Linked DNA regions of Coturnix japonica. Each later gene encodes a partner of the first gene's protein in a complex. Links are inferred from orthologs where the notes say so. Each region holds a gene or a part of one and is shown in the gene's direction. Other genes may lie near its edges.

The links.
Region 2: the proteins of MAPK10 (region 1) and ATF2 are in contact, whole or in part, in a crystal structure (PDB 4H36), measured with the Homo sapiens proteins. The link is inferred for Coturnix japonica from reciprocal best matches to the Homo sapiens genes MAPK10 and ATF2. Residues at the interface, in NP_620448.1 of Homo sapiens: Asp150, Ala151, Gln155, Met159, Glu164, Arg165, Tyr168, Val197, Lys198, Ser199, Asp200, Cys201, Trp362, Glu367; in NP_001243019.1 of Homo sapiens: Lys48, His49, Met51, Thr52, Leu53, Lys54, Phe55.
Region 3: the proteins of MAPK10 (region 1) and SH3BP5 are in contact, whole or in part, in a crystal structure (PDB 4H3B), measured with the Homo sapiens proteins. The link is inferred for Coturnix japonica from reciprocal best matches to the Homo sapiens genes MAPK10 and SH3BP5. Residues at the interface, in NP_620448.1 of Homo sapiens: Lys121, Asp150, Ala151, Gln155, Val156, Met159, Leu161, Glu164, Arg165, Tyr168, Tyr171, Val197, Lys198, Ser199, Asp200, Cys201, Trp362, Asp364, Glu367; in NP_004835.2 of Homo sapiens: Val341, Val342, Arg343, Pro344, Gly345, Ser346, Leu347, Asp348, Leu349, Pro350.

The regions. Positions count from the first base shown.
Region 1 is NC_029519.1:40,899,619-40,906,078, reverse strand, and holds part of MAPK10 (mitogen-activated protein kinase 10), read left to right. Parts: intron 1-2,184; coding exon 2,185-2,314; intron 2,315-2,791; coding exon 2,792-2,850; intron 2,851-3,965; coding exon 3,966-4,104; intron 4,105-5,079; coding exon 5,080-5,245; intron 5,246-6,460. UniProt on the Homo sapiens protein: Serine/threonine-protein kinase involved in various processes such as neuronal proliferation, differentiation, migration and programmed cell death.
Region 2 is NC_029522.1:14,845,664-14,851,466, forward strand, and holds the start of ATF2 (cyclic AMP-dependent transcription factor ATF-2), read left to right. Parts: upstream 1-1,517; 5' UTR 1,518-1,631; intron 1,632-1,772; exon of another isoform or gene 1,773-1,887; intron 1,888-4,690; exon of another isoform or gene 4,691-4,802; intron 4,803-5,063; 5' UTR 5,064-5,106; intron 5,107-5,803. UniProt on the Homo sapiens protein: Transcriptional activator which regulates the transcription of various genes, including those involved in anti-apoptosis, cell growth, and DNA damage response.
Region 3 is NC_029517.1:38,153,600-38,159,403, forward strand, and holds the start of SH3BP5 (SH3 domain-binding protein 5), read left to right. Parts: upstream 1-1,518; 5' UTR 1,519-1,572; coding exon 1,573-1,653; intron 1,654-2,624; coding exon 2,625-2,687; intron 2,688-5,804. UniProt on the Homo sapiens protein: Functions as a guanine nucleotide exchange factor (GEF) with specificity for RAB11A and RAB25. Inhibits the auto- and transphosphorylation activity of BTK. Plays a negative regulatory role in BTK-related cytoplasmic signaling in B-cells.

The DNA.
Region 1 (6,460 bases):
TGTGGGACCTGTGATTTCATTGTGCTAAGACGCAGCATCAGCTGTTGGTGAACAAAAGCTGCTCTCCGATGAATTGGAAAAGGCATCAGTGTTACTAATTGACTCAGTGCAATGAATTCCCATATTTGAGTCTTGAGGTAGTTGGGTACCTTCTGTTTGATGGAAGGCTAGGGAAGAACAGAAGTTGAGATCCCAGTATCTCAGAGTAAACACCACTGTACAAAGGATTATTGGGATTGTTTCCTCTTCCTCCATAGTGGAGGACGCAGCTGTTGTGTTACATGGTGGACTGGGAATGGATTGTTCCCAAGGGCTTGCAAAGGCGTTGCAGATTTTAAGTTGGTACTTTTGTATCTCCTGCCTTGCCTGAGAAAGAAAAATTCAGAAAAAGTGAACAAACAGAGCAGAAGGTGAAGATTGGATGTAAGCAAGGTGTTTTTTGCACAAAGGGTGGTGACACAATGGCACACTTGACCAGAAAGGTGGTGGATGCCCTGTCCTTGGAGATGCTCAAGGTCAGGTTGGATGGGGCTCTGAGCAACCTGATCTAATTGCAGATGTTCCTGTTTATTACAGACGAGTTGAGCTAGATGACCTTTAAGGGTCCCTTCCAACTCAAGCGATTCTATGGTTCTGTGACTGTCCTTTTTAAAGACGTTGGGTGATGAATTAGTGTGAATTAGCTCAGACATTTGTCTGCTGAGATGTTTTCAATGAATGTCCTTGAATGATGGATGCAGAACAGTTCGTTATTGAAAGATCTTGTTTTTAAACTCCTTGGACTTTGTGTTTCCATGAAGTATAATGCTTTATGAATGGAATAAGGATATTTTTGTCTTTGTTTTTATGGTGTCCCATTGTGATCAACCCAAAAGAGAGCAAAAGCCACAAATCCACTATAATGTCTCACATTTCTTACTATCGCTGTTAATCAACTGTTCCTCTTTGGGTACATATTGGTGTGCTCCTGATGTAGGAGTAGTATAACTGGGAACTACAGAGTGGAGAAGGAGAAGACATTTCAAGATGGACATTGCCAACTTTTTTTTAGTATGCTTGTAAATTTTTGTTGGCTTTGTAACTCAGCTTCCAATACTGCTGTGCTTTCTGCTCTGTACGCAGTCAGTAGGGTAACGTGAGTGAAAATCTACAATACACAGGGATTCATAGGAAAAAAATATGGGATTTTGAAGAGTTGCTCTGGTGCTTCATGTTGTCATTGCTGGAACATCAAGAAGTGATTTGGTGGAGTTACCCTGTAGGAAATACACTCCTGTTTTTCTTGCTGTAGCAAAAGCCTGTAGCAAACCTTTCCACATTGATGGAAAAGAGAGTAATCAGGAATGGGGCCTGAGGACTGATTTAGTCTGAGAGTATTTCTAATATGCATTTATGAAATGCAGAAGCTGGAATTTGTGTCATCATATTTGAGCGACCAAAATAAGTGGTTCAAACTCCTAAGAGGTGAAAATTATCAAAATATGTGAAAGTTGTGCAAAATGTTTTAAAACTAAAAAGGAGAATTTGAGAAGCCCATATTTAAGACCACTTTGCAAACCCGAGTCTGTATTTCTTCATGCATTCAATTTTTTAAACTAAGCATACATAACAATTTGTTTTCCTTATGAAAAGGAAACGAGAAAGAAATTTTGAGAAATAGTCCTGCTTCCAGGCATGTAATTGGACCTGGATGATATGGTCTAAAGGAATGATTAAATAATTTGATTCCATTAGAAAATGTGATAAGGAAAAGGCTAAATTAATTCTAATTGAAAGTGGGGAATTGTTCATTGAGATACTTGGTGAACGTGTCCTTAATCATGATAGGAATTGCAGAAGCCTCTCTGTTGTACCTGCTACACCAAGCTGCTTTGTGAAACTATTCGTCTCCACCAGTTCTCATTGTGCTTTTATTTAATCTTTTATTTCTACCCCTTGAAAATAAGTGTTAGATTCCTATGAAACTGGATGTCAGAAGTAGTGGTGCATGCTCTTCCCTGCTGATGTGGTACGTGGTTCCTTTCACTTGCTTCTTTCTTCTCACTAGACAATCTCTCCTTGTCCCAGCATTTTTCTCAAGGAGAGGAAAAAATGGAAATAGCAGTCTTGAGGCTCAGGAATTTGCCATAGGAAAAGAAGGAGCTCCTCTAACATGTATGTCCCCTGTGTTTGTCATGATTGCAGCGCTGCATACGATGCCATCCTTGAGCGAAACGTTGCAATCAAGAAACTAAGCCGACCATTTCAGAATCAAACCCACGCCAAACGTGCTTACAGAGAGCTGGTCCTCATGAAGTGTGTGAATCACAAAAATGTAAGTCTTATGCATGGAGTCAGACTGCTGTTTTGGTTTGATCAGAAGAAAACTCTTCTTTTGGGGGTCTTTTTTAATTTAAAAATCGGAAAAAGAGAGAGAGAGAGAGATTTGAAAAGTAAACTGATCAAGGGCTGCTTTTTCTCTGATGATGTGTGGCCACATAGGTGAATGGGTTTCTTTCATGTACATCTGTGAAGGCTGTGCCAAATGGGAGCCCTGATAGGATAGCAGGGATGATGGAAGGAGAGAGAGCAGAGCATGTTTTTCTCTACTGTTTCTCTGTAAATAGGGAAGTGGTGGTTTTGTGGAGGCATTTTATTCTAAATATTACTGACTTCTTCCTGAGCCATAAAGTGTTGGTATTAATTGAGCAGTGAAAAATAGAGTTTATCTTTCAATGCATGCTTCAGAATGAGTTTGACTGCTTCGCCTTTATCGCTTCTATTCCTCCTTTTGTTTTGCTCTGTTTTTCAGATTATCAGTTTATTAAATGTCTTCACACCACAGAAATCTCTAGAAGAGTTCCAGGATGTGTAAGTAATACAGGAAATAATTAAACCAAAGCTTTTGAGATGGTGTTTTAGTGTACCGTTAATGCAATAACTCAGCAGAACACAGAGGTGATGAGCCACCCTGAAAAATGTCCATGTGTAGTCTGCACTGTGATCAGACAGCTATGTGCATGCCTGTGTTCAAAGCATCTATAAGGTGCCAATACTGGGTTTCTGAAGTGCTGCAAGTGTGCAGCAATTTGCTCTGAAGTAATTTCCTGTAAGAGTGACAGAAACATCCTTTATGTTTGCTCTGTAATAACCTGGCTGTCTTTAATTGCTTGCCTGGTTGACTCATACTCAATGCAGAGGACAACTGCATCTCTGCTGGGCATTGTACAGATGCACAAGCACTGCTGTGCAGATTATGGAGCTGCACCAAATGGAACTACAAATAGTGTTGTGTAGTAATATTCCTTTTAGCTTTCAGTCCTCCCCATATCTTGTAAGTGTGGTATTGAAATGTATTCCTCTTCTGTAATTGGATATCAGCTGGTGATAAGAGACAAATAGTTGTTGGAGTTGGGTGAGGATGGTTTTAGTATTAACATATGAATATTATGCATCATATTGTTCCTGCAGACATATGTAGAGCACAGGAAGTAACCAGTGCTGGAGAGAAGATGAAGCATGCATCTCACATAGAAACTGAAAACCGATTTCTCACCAAAATTTGCTGTTGTGTTACAATTAGGATGTAATTAAGTGGTACACGGAAGTTGAGCAATTTGTGATCACATAAGCTGAGCTTCTGAGATGTCTGCTAAGAAATGTGCCAATGTGTTCAACCTATTAACTTCCTTGCGAAGGGGACTGAGTGCAGGTTTTGCTGAGGTTGTCAGTGAAGCTTATTTACCAGAAGCTCAGGACCAATTATTGAGTTAGGCTGTGCAGTCTTAGGACTGGAGCCATTTCATGTGCAGACACATTTTGGAGCTGCTTAGACTTCACTCAGGTTCCTGCATGTGCTGTGGGAGCCATTACTGAAGGCCAAGTGGCTGTGGCATGGGACACTTGTGACTTTTCTGACATTGTTAGTTGCTGGAGGCAATGCTCAACACAGCTGATAACCTTCCTGGCTTTGCTGTTCCATTTAGTTATCTGGTGATGGAGCTGATGGATGCCAACCTGTGCCAGGTGATTCAGATGGAGCTAGACCATGAGCGAATGTCCTACCTGCTGTATCAAATGCTCTGTGGCATCAAGCACCTGCACTCTGCGGGAATTATTCACAGGGTAAGGAAACTCCAGTTTGGAACTCAGAGTGGCAAATGCCATCCTTGTGGAAACCAGTTGAGTTTCTTGTGTGCTGCGGATCTAAGCCCTACCTCCAGAAAAATCACAGTGCATTTACTAATCACAGCCCATTCCATTCACTGAGTTGCCTCATGTTTGTTTTAGAACTGTTCTTAGGTAATGTGCTTATTAAAAATAATGATAATAATCACCAATATGCACTGGAAATCACCAAAGTGATTATGATCTCTGAAATGTCTACAGAAATGTTATTGCTCCTTAAAACACTGCTACGAGTGTGGGAGGTAACACTGTGATCCCTAACAACAGAAGAAAACAGTTTGTGTGACTGTGAGCATGTGAGGCAGTGCTGAATGGATTAAAAACACCCCTATTCTTTGTTACAGTGGTCTTGTACTAATTTTGTATTTTTAGCTGAAATATATATATACATGCATATGTCCTTTCTTTATGAAATTGTTCACAAGAGGGATGTTGCCTTACAGTAAGCAAAGGCTTTATTTCTTGCTGTGTTGTATGTACATAGGAGGATGTGGATCTGGTTTCAAGATAATTTCTGAGAAAGGATGAGTTGATTTCTTATTAAAACAAATGAAGCAGTAAACCATCTCCACGTAAGACAGTTGGAATATCTCTGTGAGGCTGACAGCATTAAAAAAAATCCCACAAAATAGTACTTTAATACTCATCTGAACTTCTCAAACAGCCCAATGAAATTATTTCACACCAGTAAGCTCCCACCATCTGAGTACAGCCCCAGGGTACACCCAGTGGGCAACACTTTTTGCAAGATATTGCAGAGAAACAGGTGCAAAGTTTTTGCCAGTGATTTCTGATTGAAACCATCAGTGAAGGAGTGCAAGAGTATTTGAATGTGCCTTGAAAAATTAATGTCCATCACTGCCGTGGCTATGGCTTTGTGCACTCCTTTCACTCTTTTGCAATCTTTTGCAGGATTTGAAACCAAGTAACATTGTGGTAAAATCTGACTGCACGCTGAAGATTTTGGATTTTGGGCTGGCCAGAACTGCAGGCACCAGCTTCATGATGACGCCTTATGTAGTGACTCGTTACTACAGAGCACCAGAGGTCATCCTGGGAATGGGCTACAAGGAGAACGGTAGGGCTGCATGTCGGAGCACACAGGTGTGAGGTGGATCTGTGGCTGTAGGGGCATCAGGAGGAGAAACAGAAAATGTATCAGGAAAAGACATCATGAATATAAAAGGCAGGTGATGGGGAGGAGGTTCTCATTCTTGGGTGCTGCAGGCACCTACTCTTGTTGGGGTGTTAATAGGGGATGAAGTTATCAGTGTGGTATTGCAGAATAATGGGAGATCGTTCTTAGTTATTAGTGAGCAAATCAAACTCAGACTAAGAAGGGAAGGAAGGGATAAAGCACGCAGTGGAGAAAAGTGCACGGTCTCAGGTTCTGTCCTCAGGAGCTGCCACTCGTCTTTTTGACAAAGAGATTAATCAATGACAGAGGTCATTAATTCTTTGTAATGGTTGTGAGTTCACAGTGCAGATTTTAATGGGAAAATCAAGAAAGTAGGCAGTTACTGAGTAGATTCTAACAGTGCAGAATAATATTTATTGAGAGCAATGTTTCTTGAAGGACTTTGATGTGTGTTGTTATCGACTTGACCTGAGCTCGGCATCTTTTACAGCTCCTTACGCCAAATACCCACTTGTTTTTTCTTTCAAAACATGTAGTAAATAAATCTTCATTGTTATAATTGTCCCTGAGAGGACAGAAAATGCACTCAGTTCTCAAATAAGAAAATCTTAGGGACACTTTAGTGATGAAGTGTACAGCTGGGAAAGTTCCAAGAGTTGTTGCCATATCTCCCAGGGAAGGAACAGAAGGGCTGCTCTTTGCTCCCTGCTCCTGTGCTGCCACATTACTGAAGCTCCCCTCCTTTTTTCCCCTTACTATGCCCATTGCCTGTGTAAGGACTATTCACTGCTTTCATTTTCTTTCTGCACTGGGTTGGCTAAAGATATACCATTAACACTGGTTTGCTGTGCTTCCCGGGGAAGCTCCCAAAGCCATCACTGTGAAGAAAACTGCTGCAGCCTCAGGCATGCTCCTGCTGTCCTGTGCCCCATACCCTGTACCCTCCTTGTCCCAGATGGAACGTTTCACCTTGATTTTATTTGACCAAGAAATGAGTTGTTTGTTTCTTTGGTTTGTTATGGATAGAATGTGGGTTCAGATCCTCAAGCAGCAGTTGTAGATAGCCCCTAAGTGTGATATGTATCCACGTGGCCTTTGCTTACAGGAGTAGTTCCATTGGGAACCTCCTGTGCACTGCTACAGGACAGAGTCCGC
Region 2 (5,803 bases), on another chromosome or scaffold:
ATGTTGGTGTCATGGAAATTGATGCTATTTCCAAAGTCATTTCATTAAAGATAAACAACTTTAACTGTCATCCTGTTCCTTGCATTTTTTATCTTTCTTATAAAGTTATGACTTTATTTTGTGGTAATGACGTATATGTAGGACCCTTTAAACAATAACTTCAAGTCAAGCATATAATATTTGTGGCAGTGTCACTTGCTTGATAAAATCAGTATGATTAATCCTAGGAAAATCAAAGGATGCACTGACCAAGTGTGAGAAGTTGTACTTCTGGCCTTGTTCCTTTACCTATTTCACATTTATCCAGAGCTGTTTCTCTGCACAGTTTTGTGTTGTCCTCCCCACTAGATTAGCTGGCACACAGAGTTTTGGCATCTCACGGTACAATAAGCTTAACAATTCTCCAGCAGTGATAAGGAAGCTGTTTGCATCAGTCCCACTACTAATTTTGATCATCCTAGTAGAAGTTTTCTGCTTGGTTCTCCAGGTTGAACTTAACTACTGGTTGAGATTGGTCCGAAGCCAATGGCACATAGACATTATACTCTTACTTAATTACAGTGTTCTTGGCATGGGAGAATGTCCAGCTTTTTGATATAGTAAAGATTTGTCATTAACCTGATGTTTGGAAAACAGTAGGATCCAAGAGTGACAAAATGCTGCACTTCAAGCTTTGCATCTCATGGTTTCTATCTTTTAACAACCTTAATACATTTAAGGTGCTGTCTGCGCTTACAGCAATGTACTGTGTAATGCTGTGCACTAATTGGTTGGGTGGCTTTGAATATTAAATAATAGATCTAATCATTCAACAACGACAAACTGACCTTTGGAAGAAAGCAAACAGGTTTATGAGCTTTGCTTTCCTGCTGTTACGGAATTAAATCCAGGGAGCTATGAGCTGTAAGTAGCCCGTCCTCGGGTATGTGAAGAAACTGGTTGGTGGCTCTGATGTGTGTGATCTGCAGGTAAACTCTTCGCTTTGAGTTTCAATACTACGTGGGTATTCATTCAGCTTAACTCGAACGTAGCATGAAGCTACTTGCTCTGTATGTTCTTCAATGGAAATAGCCATCTTTTCAAGAACTGCTGAACGCAGTCCAGAATTGCTGTTAAGTAATGCCACGTATGGATGAATTGGATCTCACTGTTGGACACATCACGGGCTTCTAAAGCACAGAAACAAACCTGCACGCAGGGAGTTCGCTACCTCATTGGCAATAATGTCCTCATTGACAATAAGGTGAATGATGATTGATAAGTGGGTTTTGAAACATTGAATGATAGGTGGGTGTTCACACCTGAATGATCCCGGGGCGCACAGACTCCCTGTCTCTGTTCCTGCTCCGTGCTGGACCAAAGATTCGTGTCCGTGCCGTGTCCCGTCGGACGTAGCCCGGATCATCCATCCCGTGTTGTACCGCCCCCACACCCGGCCCGGCCTCTCCCGTCCTCACGACGAGCCGCAGCCGCCCCGCCGGCATCGCCCAATGGGCGCCGTCCCCGCCCCCCTGCGCCACGTGACCTGCGTTCCACCGGTCCCGCGGAGATGTCGGCGTTGTTCTCGCGAGATGTGACGGAAGCCTGTGGGGGACCCGGCCGTTCGTGTTTGGCGCGGCCCGCGTTCCCGGGTGAGTTTGTAAACAGGAGCGCGGCTCTGCCGGGCCAGGTGCCGGCTCCGCCCTCCGCGCTGCGCCCGGCTCCGGGCCGCGGGGAGCGCCCCGAGGGCGGAGGGGAGGGAGCGGCCCCGCCGAGGGGTAGGCGGGGGTTCCCGGGAGGCGGTAATATGGCGCCGCGGCTCCGCGCCGCCGCAGCCCCCTCCCCCACCGCGGCCTGCGGCTCCCGCCGCCCCTAGAGCCGGGCAGGAGGACGCCGGAGCCGCCGCAGGTACGGGCCGATCGGATGGGGGCGGCGGGGCGGAGGATGCGTCGGCTTTTCTCTCGCCTCCGGTGGCTGCCCCGGGCTCGGCCTGAGCCCCGGCCCCAAGGAGGCCTCTCCGCGTCCATCCGTGGCTCCGGAGGCCCTCGGGCTGCGCCCAGCGCTCGGGCTTAGCGGTATGGGGGGGGAGGAGGAGGAAGCGAGCGCCTCTTGTGCAGGCAGGGCCGCGGCCTGTGCCTTCAGGGTTGTGCTAATGAAACATCTCCGAAGCTGTCAGAGGATTAAAAGCAAGCAGCGCAGCGCGGGCCTTCAGGCGCTGATGATTGCACGGTGTTTCAGGCACGGATATTTCATGCCCTCGGTGCTGTGTGATTGTGGGTTTGAGGTACAGGTGCTGTTGTGCTGCTGCAGCTTTGTTCGTGCTGCAGCCTTCCTACACCCCTCTGTTTGGAGGGGGTTCCATCAGTGCGTTTCTATGTCTCACCCATTCCTATGTCACTTGTTTGCTTTTCCTTGCTAGTTTCTTCCAGAAATGACCTTTCCCTTCAAATAAAGATGCAGTCACCTGCTTCATAGTAGGATATAAGGCTACTACAGCTGGAAATTGTGAGTCATCCGCTGCTTTGCAAACAGCTAATGCAAAGTGAATTTTCTCCTGCAGTTTTCTCTCCTGCCTTTTAGAATGTGTTTGTCGTCATCTTGTCACACTGTACTCAGAGCTGGGAATCTCTTCTCAAGCTCTTGCTGAGTGTAAAGGCACATAGAGCTGATTACAAAGAAAAAAAGGAGAAAAGCAGGTGTGCCTGAAGTTAACACTGTGTGACTGCTGTGCCTGCATTAGATGCTCTGTTCAACTTTGATTTATAGGATTACAAAAACTTTATGGTCCTTGGTTTCCACTGTGGTAGACGTGTCTTCAGTTGGCTAATGAAACATCAGTTGCTGATGTTAATGGAAGTCTGGTTACAGACATCACTTCAGAGGCATGAACTGGTGAAGTGTGGCAGTCACTTGGGTTCTCTTTTAAGCCCTTATTGAAGCCTTATTGAAAAAAACAAATGTCGTAAACTGCTTTTTGTAGTGCATCCAAAAAAACATGGGGTGAAGCTGCTTACAAAAGAACTTGGTGGTGTGTTTGTTTTACACTTGATAGCACATGCCTACACCCAGTCAGCTGGTTGGGTCTTTGATCTTTCTCATTGTATAGTCATGTTTCCATCCTGACTTCAATTCTAGAAATACAGACATTTTTGGTACATCTTTTTCTAGAAGATTCTTAGCTGTGCAGTGTGTAACATAAGGTTCTTTCAGGTCCTGAGTTAATCTTGCATAACTTTATGAATAATTTTTGTTTTCATGCTACTTCTCTAGTGGTTCTGTGACAGCATTGAGCAGCCTGAAATATGGTGTTCTTTTAATCTTATTAATTAGGGTCCATCTTCTGCCTAAAATGCCTTTCATCAGCTATTCTTTCTCTTCCCCCCACCATTTATCTTTTAAAATTTTTTAAAAGCCTCTTTTACTGTTTTATTTAACTGTTGTTAAACTTTTTTTTAAGACTGGTTTTAGAGGAGTAAACATGATTCAGCTGCATTAACTTCTCTCTGTAATAATGAATAGACTTCAAGTTATCGTATCCTCCTGCATAACTTAAGTATATTTGTTTCAAATCAATAGGGTACACTCTGAGACACTGAATATATCTGGGGGTAGAAATATGAGTCGATACTTTTTAACTATGCTCATATTTTTGTTTCAAGTTGGTGCCATACTGTATCTGATTGATTTTTGTGTCAGTAGCTGCTTAGCAGGAGCTCAACCTCAGAACTTTCCTATTAGCTCTACTTCAGACTGGAGTTTTTCTTTTGTAAGTTAGTGGGAACAATACAGTGTGTTTCTATTTCTGGGTAAATGCCAGTGGCCATTTACCTTGTTGCTTATAGGAAAAAAATACATCACTCTGTTTTAATGAGCTTTGAGAGTGCTTCAGTAGCACACTCCTTGGTATATTTAAGAATTTTAAATCAAACCCTTGGTTATTGTATGGAGTTACGTACTCAAAGGATGCGATCTGTAAAAATGAAGTACCTTTGTTAAGATATTTTTAATTTTAATTTTAAGATATTTTTAATTTGCTGAAAATAAAGTTGCAGAAGACTAGATTTACAATGTCTCTGAGGTTGATGGACAGTAATAAAACTTTCAAACTTAGGTAATTGAGCTGGTGAAGGCGTAAAAGCTAATATCTTGCTAAACAAGTCACAGAGAGATCTCAGGAATATGAAATCCTGTGTATTTGCTCTCTGAGATTCCCTGGCTTTCTACTTGTCTGCTGTAAGAGCTGCATTCACACTGCATAAGCTTCCACTAATCCAAGCCCCTCTGAGAAATATCCAAGCCAGGGAGCTGACATTCGAGCTGTCAGATTCAGTCAGCTGGAACTGTTGGGTCTAGGAACATTTCTTTTATTCCATCAGTGCTCCTGGTTTACCAGAATTGTCCCTTCTTATGTGAAAAGCTTGCTCCTACTGCAGAACCAAAGTGACTTCATTGGTTTGTTTCTGTGCACGTGACTATCTGGCCAGTAGATTTCTTGTTCTCATTTGAAATTGTTAAGTCAATCGTCTTCACTTCTCACACATTTTTCCTCTTATCCAGATGAGATCCCTCTTAGTTATTTGAATTGAGTTCCGTACCTTCCTCTATTTGACTTAGACGTCAGTTACAGACAGGTCACTGACAGCATCAACATTAGGCCTGCTTTTGAAAGAAGAAAGCTTGATGCAACAGGCATTGCCTTCTGCCTCCCCAGAACACTGAGAGAGACCGCGTGACTTCGAGGAAGTGGAACAACTGCTCTTCTAAGCAGTAGAGTGACAGTTTTGAAGAAGAAGCTCCTGTTTTCCTATTGACCAGTTCTTGAGGTTTGCATCCTTTAAACAGCCTATAGTTATCTTCCAGAATCTACTTGCTAGTGATTCTACATCTTTTTTAAGGAGGAACGTTTATATTTTTCCATATTTTTCCTCCTTCAGTCTGTTCATTTTTCACTTTCAGTTCTTTAGGAATGTTAAATTCTGTGGTGACATGACAGAAATGCAGTCAGAACACTTCTGAAAGCGGTCTGTAATAGTGAATATTAATTACACCACTTCTGCTTCACTTTTCTTTGTTTTTGCATACAGGAAACTGAAAAGAAAAAATAAGAAGTTGTTCCAGTCCTTCTAGGTAAGTGAAGTGATGGCTTGTATTCTAAAATCCAAATGTTGACTTTATTTTACTGTTTTACTAACTGCTAAATTGCACACACAAACTTCTGGTTTCTCCTGAAAGCGGAATTTGCAAGTCTGATTGCCCCTGTAGTGAACTGTAGGACTTAGTATTAAATACAGGAAATGATTAAAGTGTATGCAATTCAGTGCTGCTATCAAGTATTGAAAATATAAGAGGTACCCTTGGTTTGTTTTGTTTCACATTGACTTGCTTGGTTGCATGAGAGCCAGCTCTTTTAATTTTGGAGTGGTTAAGTTTGGAAAACAAAACCAGCTATTTTTTAATTTATTTTTTAATGTAAAGAAGCAGCTCTACTAAAATTTTTGTTAAATTAAATTCTGCTCTTCAAGTACCTGTTAAGAGAACGTCATTCTTTAACGTGCAGGTATGCTCAGTCTTCAGTCCACTTGATTTTAAATGCAAACAAAGAGATGAAGAAGTTACACGCCTCAAGTAGAACTTGTGAATCAAAGAAAATTTTTGCCCTTGCCCTTTTACGCTTCACTTTTCTTTTACAGGTGCTTTAAAGTGAGATCTTAAAACCCTAATGTTGAAAGCAGTTACGTACTATGATGAGATCTACACTAAAGGTTACTAAGAGTTAATAACTATATACAGTCAGAGTTGATTGTGCAGTAAAAAGGGGCATGCT
Region 3 (5,804 bases), on another chromosome or scaffold:
GCTTTGTGGTTTTTAGGATGACCAGAGCTTTGGATGTTGAAACACATGAGCCACATGAGAGACCTGGAGACTCTGGAGCTCTGTATTGTTTGCACACATTGAATTCCCTTAATGGCAATCAACAGGAACAAACCACTTTTGTGTGGTGATGTTTTCTTTTTCTTTACACAGTTTCTCTTGCTGTGAGAAATGAAGATGTGAACAGCCCATCTGCGTTTTGCAACACCTCTGTTCCTTGATTAGTTTGGATTGATGGTATAACTTTGCATGTTTATACACTGTTCAAATGTTTGTGCCATTTTCTTTCTTCCCACATTGTTTTGATTTTTCCAGTTTCTTTCATAGTACACAGAATCAAAGAATCATTGAGCTGGAAAGGGACCCTTGGAGGTCATCTGCAATGAGCAGTTACCTACAGCTGTATCAGGAGCTCAGAGCCCTGTACAGCCTGACCTTGAGTGTCATCAGGGATGGTATATCTACCACCTCTCTGGACAACCTGTACCAGTGCCTCAACACCCTTATTGTGAAAAACTTCCTTACATCCAATCTAAATCTCCACTCTTTTAGTTTGAAACCATTTCCCTTTTGTCCTATCACAACAGACTGTATTAAAGAGCCTGTCCCCTGCCTTCTTACAGGCCCCTTTAGATACCAAATGGCCACTCTCAGGTCTCCCCACAGTCTTCTCTTCTCCAGGCTGAACAGTCCCATCTCTCTCAGCCTGTCCTCGCAGGGGAGGTGTTCGATCTCATCTTCGTGGCCCTCCTGTGGATGTGCTCCAACAGGTCCATGTCTCTCCTGTACTGAGGACTCCACATATGGACACTGTACACCACGTGAGGCCTCACCAGTGCAGATCAGTGGGGCCAGATCACCTTCCTTACCCTGCTGTCCACATTTCTTTTGATTCAGTCCAGGATACAGTTGACTTTCTGGGCTGTGAGGGCACACCGTTGGCTCATGTCTAACTTCCCATCCACCAGTACCCCCAGGTACTATCTAGGAGGGCTGTGCTCCATCCTTACATTCCCCAGCTTGCATTGATAGTGTGGGTTGCCACAACCCAGGTGCAAGACTTGGACTTGTTGAACCTCATAGGGTTCACGTGTGCCCACTGCTCAAACCAGTCTGTGTGGCATCCCATCTCTCAGGATTTAAGCTATTTGGACGAGCTTGAATACTACTTTCCTTCCCTTTTCTTTGCTGCAAGCTCACCAGCAGAGCCTGTAGGAATAGAAGAGACAGAAAAGGAGGCAAAAGGAGCAGTGTGAGGTGTGGTTGGCTTTCCCCAGCACCTGAAATCGCTCACCTCGGCTCCGCGCAGTGGACGTGCGTGGGCCTGCCGTGCCCGGCGGGGCAGGGAGGAACGACAAAAGAACAGAAGAAAAAAGGGGCTAAAAAATAAAGGGGAAGGAAAGAGCGGGGAAATTTTACCCTCTTTTCCTTCTCCAGGCACAAAGGGCCGGGGGGGCCGCGGGCAGGGAGGGGTTTCCCCGGAGGCGGGGCCGCGCCGAGGTGGCCGCTGAGCGGCAGCCGGAGCCGAGCGGGCAGCGGCGGGCGGGAGCCGCCATGGAGCCGGGGGGCAGGCGCGGCCGTGCCGCCGAGGAGGCCCCGCGGCCCGAGGAGGAGGAGGTGGATCCCCGCATCCAGGTGAGGGACCTCCGGCCGATCCCTCCCCGCGTACGGAGACGGACGGTTCTCTTCACGAGCGGCCCGGGGCTGCGCTTTGTCGCTGTGCGGACCCCTCCCCGGCTGCTCTCGGCCGTGACCTTGGCTGCGGAGCGGGGCCGGCACCCCGAAATGCGGGGATGGGAACGGGGTGGGGGAGGAGATGGCGTAGTGTTTTAATTCTTGTTCGGAAGGAGCTGTAATGGCAGCTGCCGTTTCCCTTGTGTCGGTGCCGTTCGGAAGGCTTTGGATTCCGTCGCGTTTTATACAGGCGATTTTTTCTCTCCCCTTAACCAAGCCGTGACCTGCTGCCTGTGTATTTTTGGGTCCGGGTCCGCGTTTCGTCTCTGCTGGCCGTGAGGAGTCCCCGCCGAGTGGGGGAGGGCTCCTCTAGTTTTGCCTCTAGTACGTATTTATTCAGAGGGTTTAACACCTTTGCTTTTGCTGTTAGAGATCAAAATGTTGGCTGGAAGGCAGGCTTAAGAAACACTGTCATCTGTCCCACTGACTGCTTGTGTTATAGAGCGGCTTGCCAAAATCCAGAGCACAGAGCTGGCTGTCTATTCCTTCTGTTGCATCTCCTGTGATAGGACTAATGTGATGCTGATATATTTGGGGGTGCCTGTTCCAGGTAGCAGATGCTGGCTACCTTTAACAGGAACAGAAATGACTCTACTTGACGTTTATTTTTACTTGTGAGGAATAGGCCAGAACAGGAAACATACTGCCTTAAAATAAAGCTGTAGAGCTGCTCTGATTATTTTTCTTTTAGGTTGCAGAATAGAAGACCAGTGGCAAAGTTGTTCCAAGTGTCTCAGGTTTTCCTGTTTTCATTACATATATAAGCCCACGGCCCTTGTGAGCTTTCTGTGGGGATGCTGAACGGTTGTTCTCAGAAACATTTCCCTCAGATTTCTTCATACACATTCAACATTTTCTTCCTTTCTTTTCAGGGGGAGCTGGAAAAGCTGAATCAATCTACAGATGTAATCAATCGGAGGGAGACGGAACTGGAGGTAGGGGCTTCATCCTTGCATTTTCCTTCTGTGCATGTTGGGGTTTGTAAACAACCAAAAGAGGTTTTTGAGCAGGTTCCCTCCTGTATGGTTATCCCAAGAGGTTATTTGGCAGCAAGGAACTGATGATAGATTTGAAAGGTGTGAGTGATGCTGACGGAGTGGAAGCCCTAAGTGGAACACCCAGCCTCTTCCACTGCGAAACCCTATTTTTAGGTTTTGAAACGAAACTAAGACAAGTTCTGCTTTCACAAGTGGCTCCCTTGGGTTTGGCTTCTTGCGATTATCAGCAGTGAAAGTTTGGTTGGTTAAAAGATCTTTGGTATAAAAACGCCTGCCAAGATGGAAAGTTGAGGAGCTGAAAGAAAATACTTCCTACTTAGGGGAGAAAGGGGTGTTCTAGGCTGTTTAAAAATCCAGTGGTGTGTTCTGGAGTGGTTAATTTGAGTTTCAGCTGCTTATCCATTCTGGAAGGCTCAGCACCGTGGATCTAATATGAATTAATTGGCCCACTTGTACATCTAAGTTTTCTTTTGTTATCTGCAAAACAAAAGATAAAACCTGTGGTACTGTGGGTTGAAAACGCTGTTAGAGGAAAGCTGGCACAATGTTTTACTTTAGTTCCTAAATAATTTCGATAGCATAACAGTATTTTGAATACTATATCCAGCTGTTCCATTCAGCTGGACAGGGTGCAGTGATCTCTGAGCTTGTTGTGTGGCAATTTTCTTCTTTATTTTCTGTTTCTGGCGTGTAGATCGTGAATTTATTGGCAAATGGACTTGGTGGAGCTGAGGACTATTTGTTATGCAGAATTAAACTATATTTCAGCTGTGGAAAGCACTCTGTGCTACTGGCTTCATTTGTATTTTAAGAGTGAACTTAAAAAAGCAGTATGCTAGTTGATCTTTTTAAGTGCAGCAGTACCAATTAAATGCATTCCAGCTCCCCTCAGGAGTAGTACTATATATATCCATGTATTACTATGTATATGTATATATGTAGCTGTTGATAGATGCAATTTAAATGGACATTTCTAGATTATGTTTTTTGCAAAGTATAAGGCCTTGCTGTTATTCTGCAGACAGAAAAGGCTGCTTTGGCCCAGCTCTCTTACAGGATAAATCCACAGTTGGGAAGGAGGAGCCGAGTCTTTGAAACAGTGATCCCAGTTCTGAAATCCTTGAGTGCTGCTGAAGAACATGGGCTTCTGGGAGAGCCGTGCTGGATTTGCCTTTGAAATTTTGGCTGCTTGCCCCTCGTGTTGCCTATTTCTTGTCTGTGTTGTTGCTGCTGTTGCGAGATAGTTCATTAGATGATGAGCTTTTTTTTTTATTCCTTACGAACAATGGAGTTATATTTATCCTGTTCTTCCGTTATTGAAAATACGGAGTGAATAATGTGGTAGTTGACTTTATAATAGTTGACGTTAATGGGAGCACAGCATCATTAGGCTATTTACGTTACAGGAAGCTGATATAGTACATCTCATGGTATTGCTTTGTGGTCCATTCATTCCCACTGTTGGATATTTCTTGGATGATCTGAAAAAGCGAATGGAGGGTTTGAAGGGAGGGTACATTTCTTTGAAGGAAGATCAGGAAAAAACCCTCATGTTTTCATGACTTGAAGTGCTCTCTAATAAGCAGGAAGAGTAACCTTGTGGCATCTGAGTCTGCTTTGGACTTCCTGCAGCTTTGCATAGCTTCTCCAGCTGGATTGCTGCGCACGCTGGCTCTTTCCAGATCCCAATAACAGGAAAAATGCTGTAGGCATTATGTGTTTGTAAATCCCTTGCTTTCGTTTTCACTGTGCCTCAGGTCTACATCTGCAAAATGGTCATGTTTACCCGATAGAAAACTGGGGCTAACATCAGTAAATGCCTCTAGGATTGTGACGTTGCACTCTCCCAGTGCAGCCACAGGCGTGTCTGTGTTTTAATGATGTCAGAGCTATTGGAGTTGGCTGCTCACAGAGGTGACAAAATGAGGGATCCCATTTGGAGTTGATCAGCCTACCTTCTTAAAACAAATAACAATAATAATAATAAAAATCTGTACCCGAATCACCCTGTGAGAGGTGTGATTTTACATGCATGGCATGACTTGAGAAATGTAGAAGTTGTCTAAATCTATTCTTTTAGTTGCTATAATTGCTCATTTTTTGCTCTTTTGGCCTATCCCACTAAAACCTGAAGGACTGCCCTGACCTTATAGTACTCACAGCCTGTTCAGGACCTGCAGAGCCGATAAAGGGCACCGAGTGGCTGGTAGTTGTGTTCCCTTAATGTATTGCCTGTTAATGAATCTTTGATTGGCTTCATTTAAAACCCCTCAAGCCAATCTTACTAAGTGCAACACTGAGCGTTACTGACACAACAAAGGGATGATAAAGGCCCTCCAGAGGATTGAACACTTGGCTTTCCCCATGTCCGTGATTGTGTTGGAAGCCTCTCTGAAGAGGTGTCGGAAACATCTTGCAGTGGAGATAGAAGCAGGTTTTGACCACATACAAGTTTGAGCAGTGCCTTGCTATTTCAGTATTTTTCCTGTTTACTGGGAACACATCTGCATGGGAGCTCTCATCGGGAGCCTGGAAATGCACTTAGCAAATGTACACGACGTGCCCATCCATCTAACCCCTGTGTATTGTTGACCAGCTCCTAGAGGTACGATTCAGCTGCAGCAGATCAATCAAGGGAACCTCTGGCAGCATTGCAGGGGGAAAAATGCAGCACATACCATTAAAATTACCACTGGAATCCTAGCAATCCCAGTGTGTTTTTTGTTACAGCTTTTGTGTTTCTGGAACTTCAAGCCTGCTAGTGTTTATTAAGGGACAACGATTGCACACAAAAACTAGTTAAGCAGTGCTACTTCCAGCCATGTTTTTTTAAGTGGGATTTGTTTAGGATCCTTCTTGTATGTTTGTCTAGATCCTCTAGTCCCAATCTGTGAGGCTTTGTGCTCCTTTTAGTCCCACATTTGTCCTAAAGGTTACTCTGGGTTGATGTTGAACAGTATCACAGGAAAGGGTTGCGTCTGCCGTGGTGCTGTCACTTGTAAGCCCTGTCAGCATGGGAACCCCTTGCAAAAGAGGAAGGGCTGTCCTTTCCAC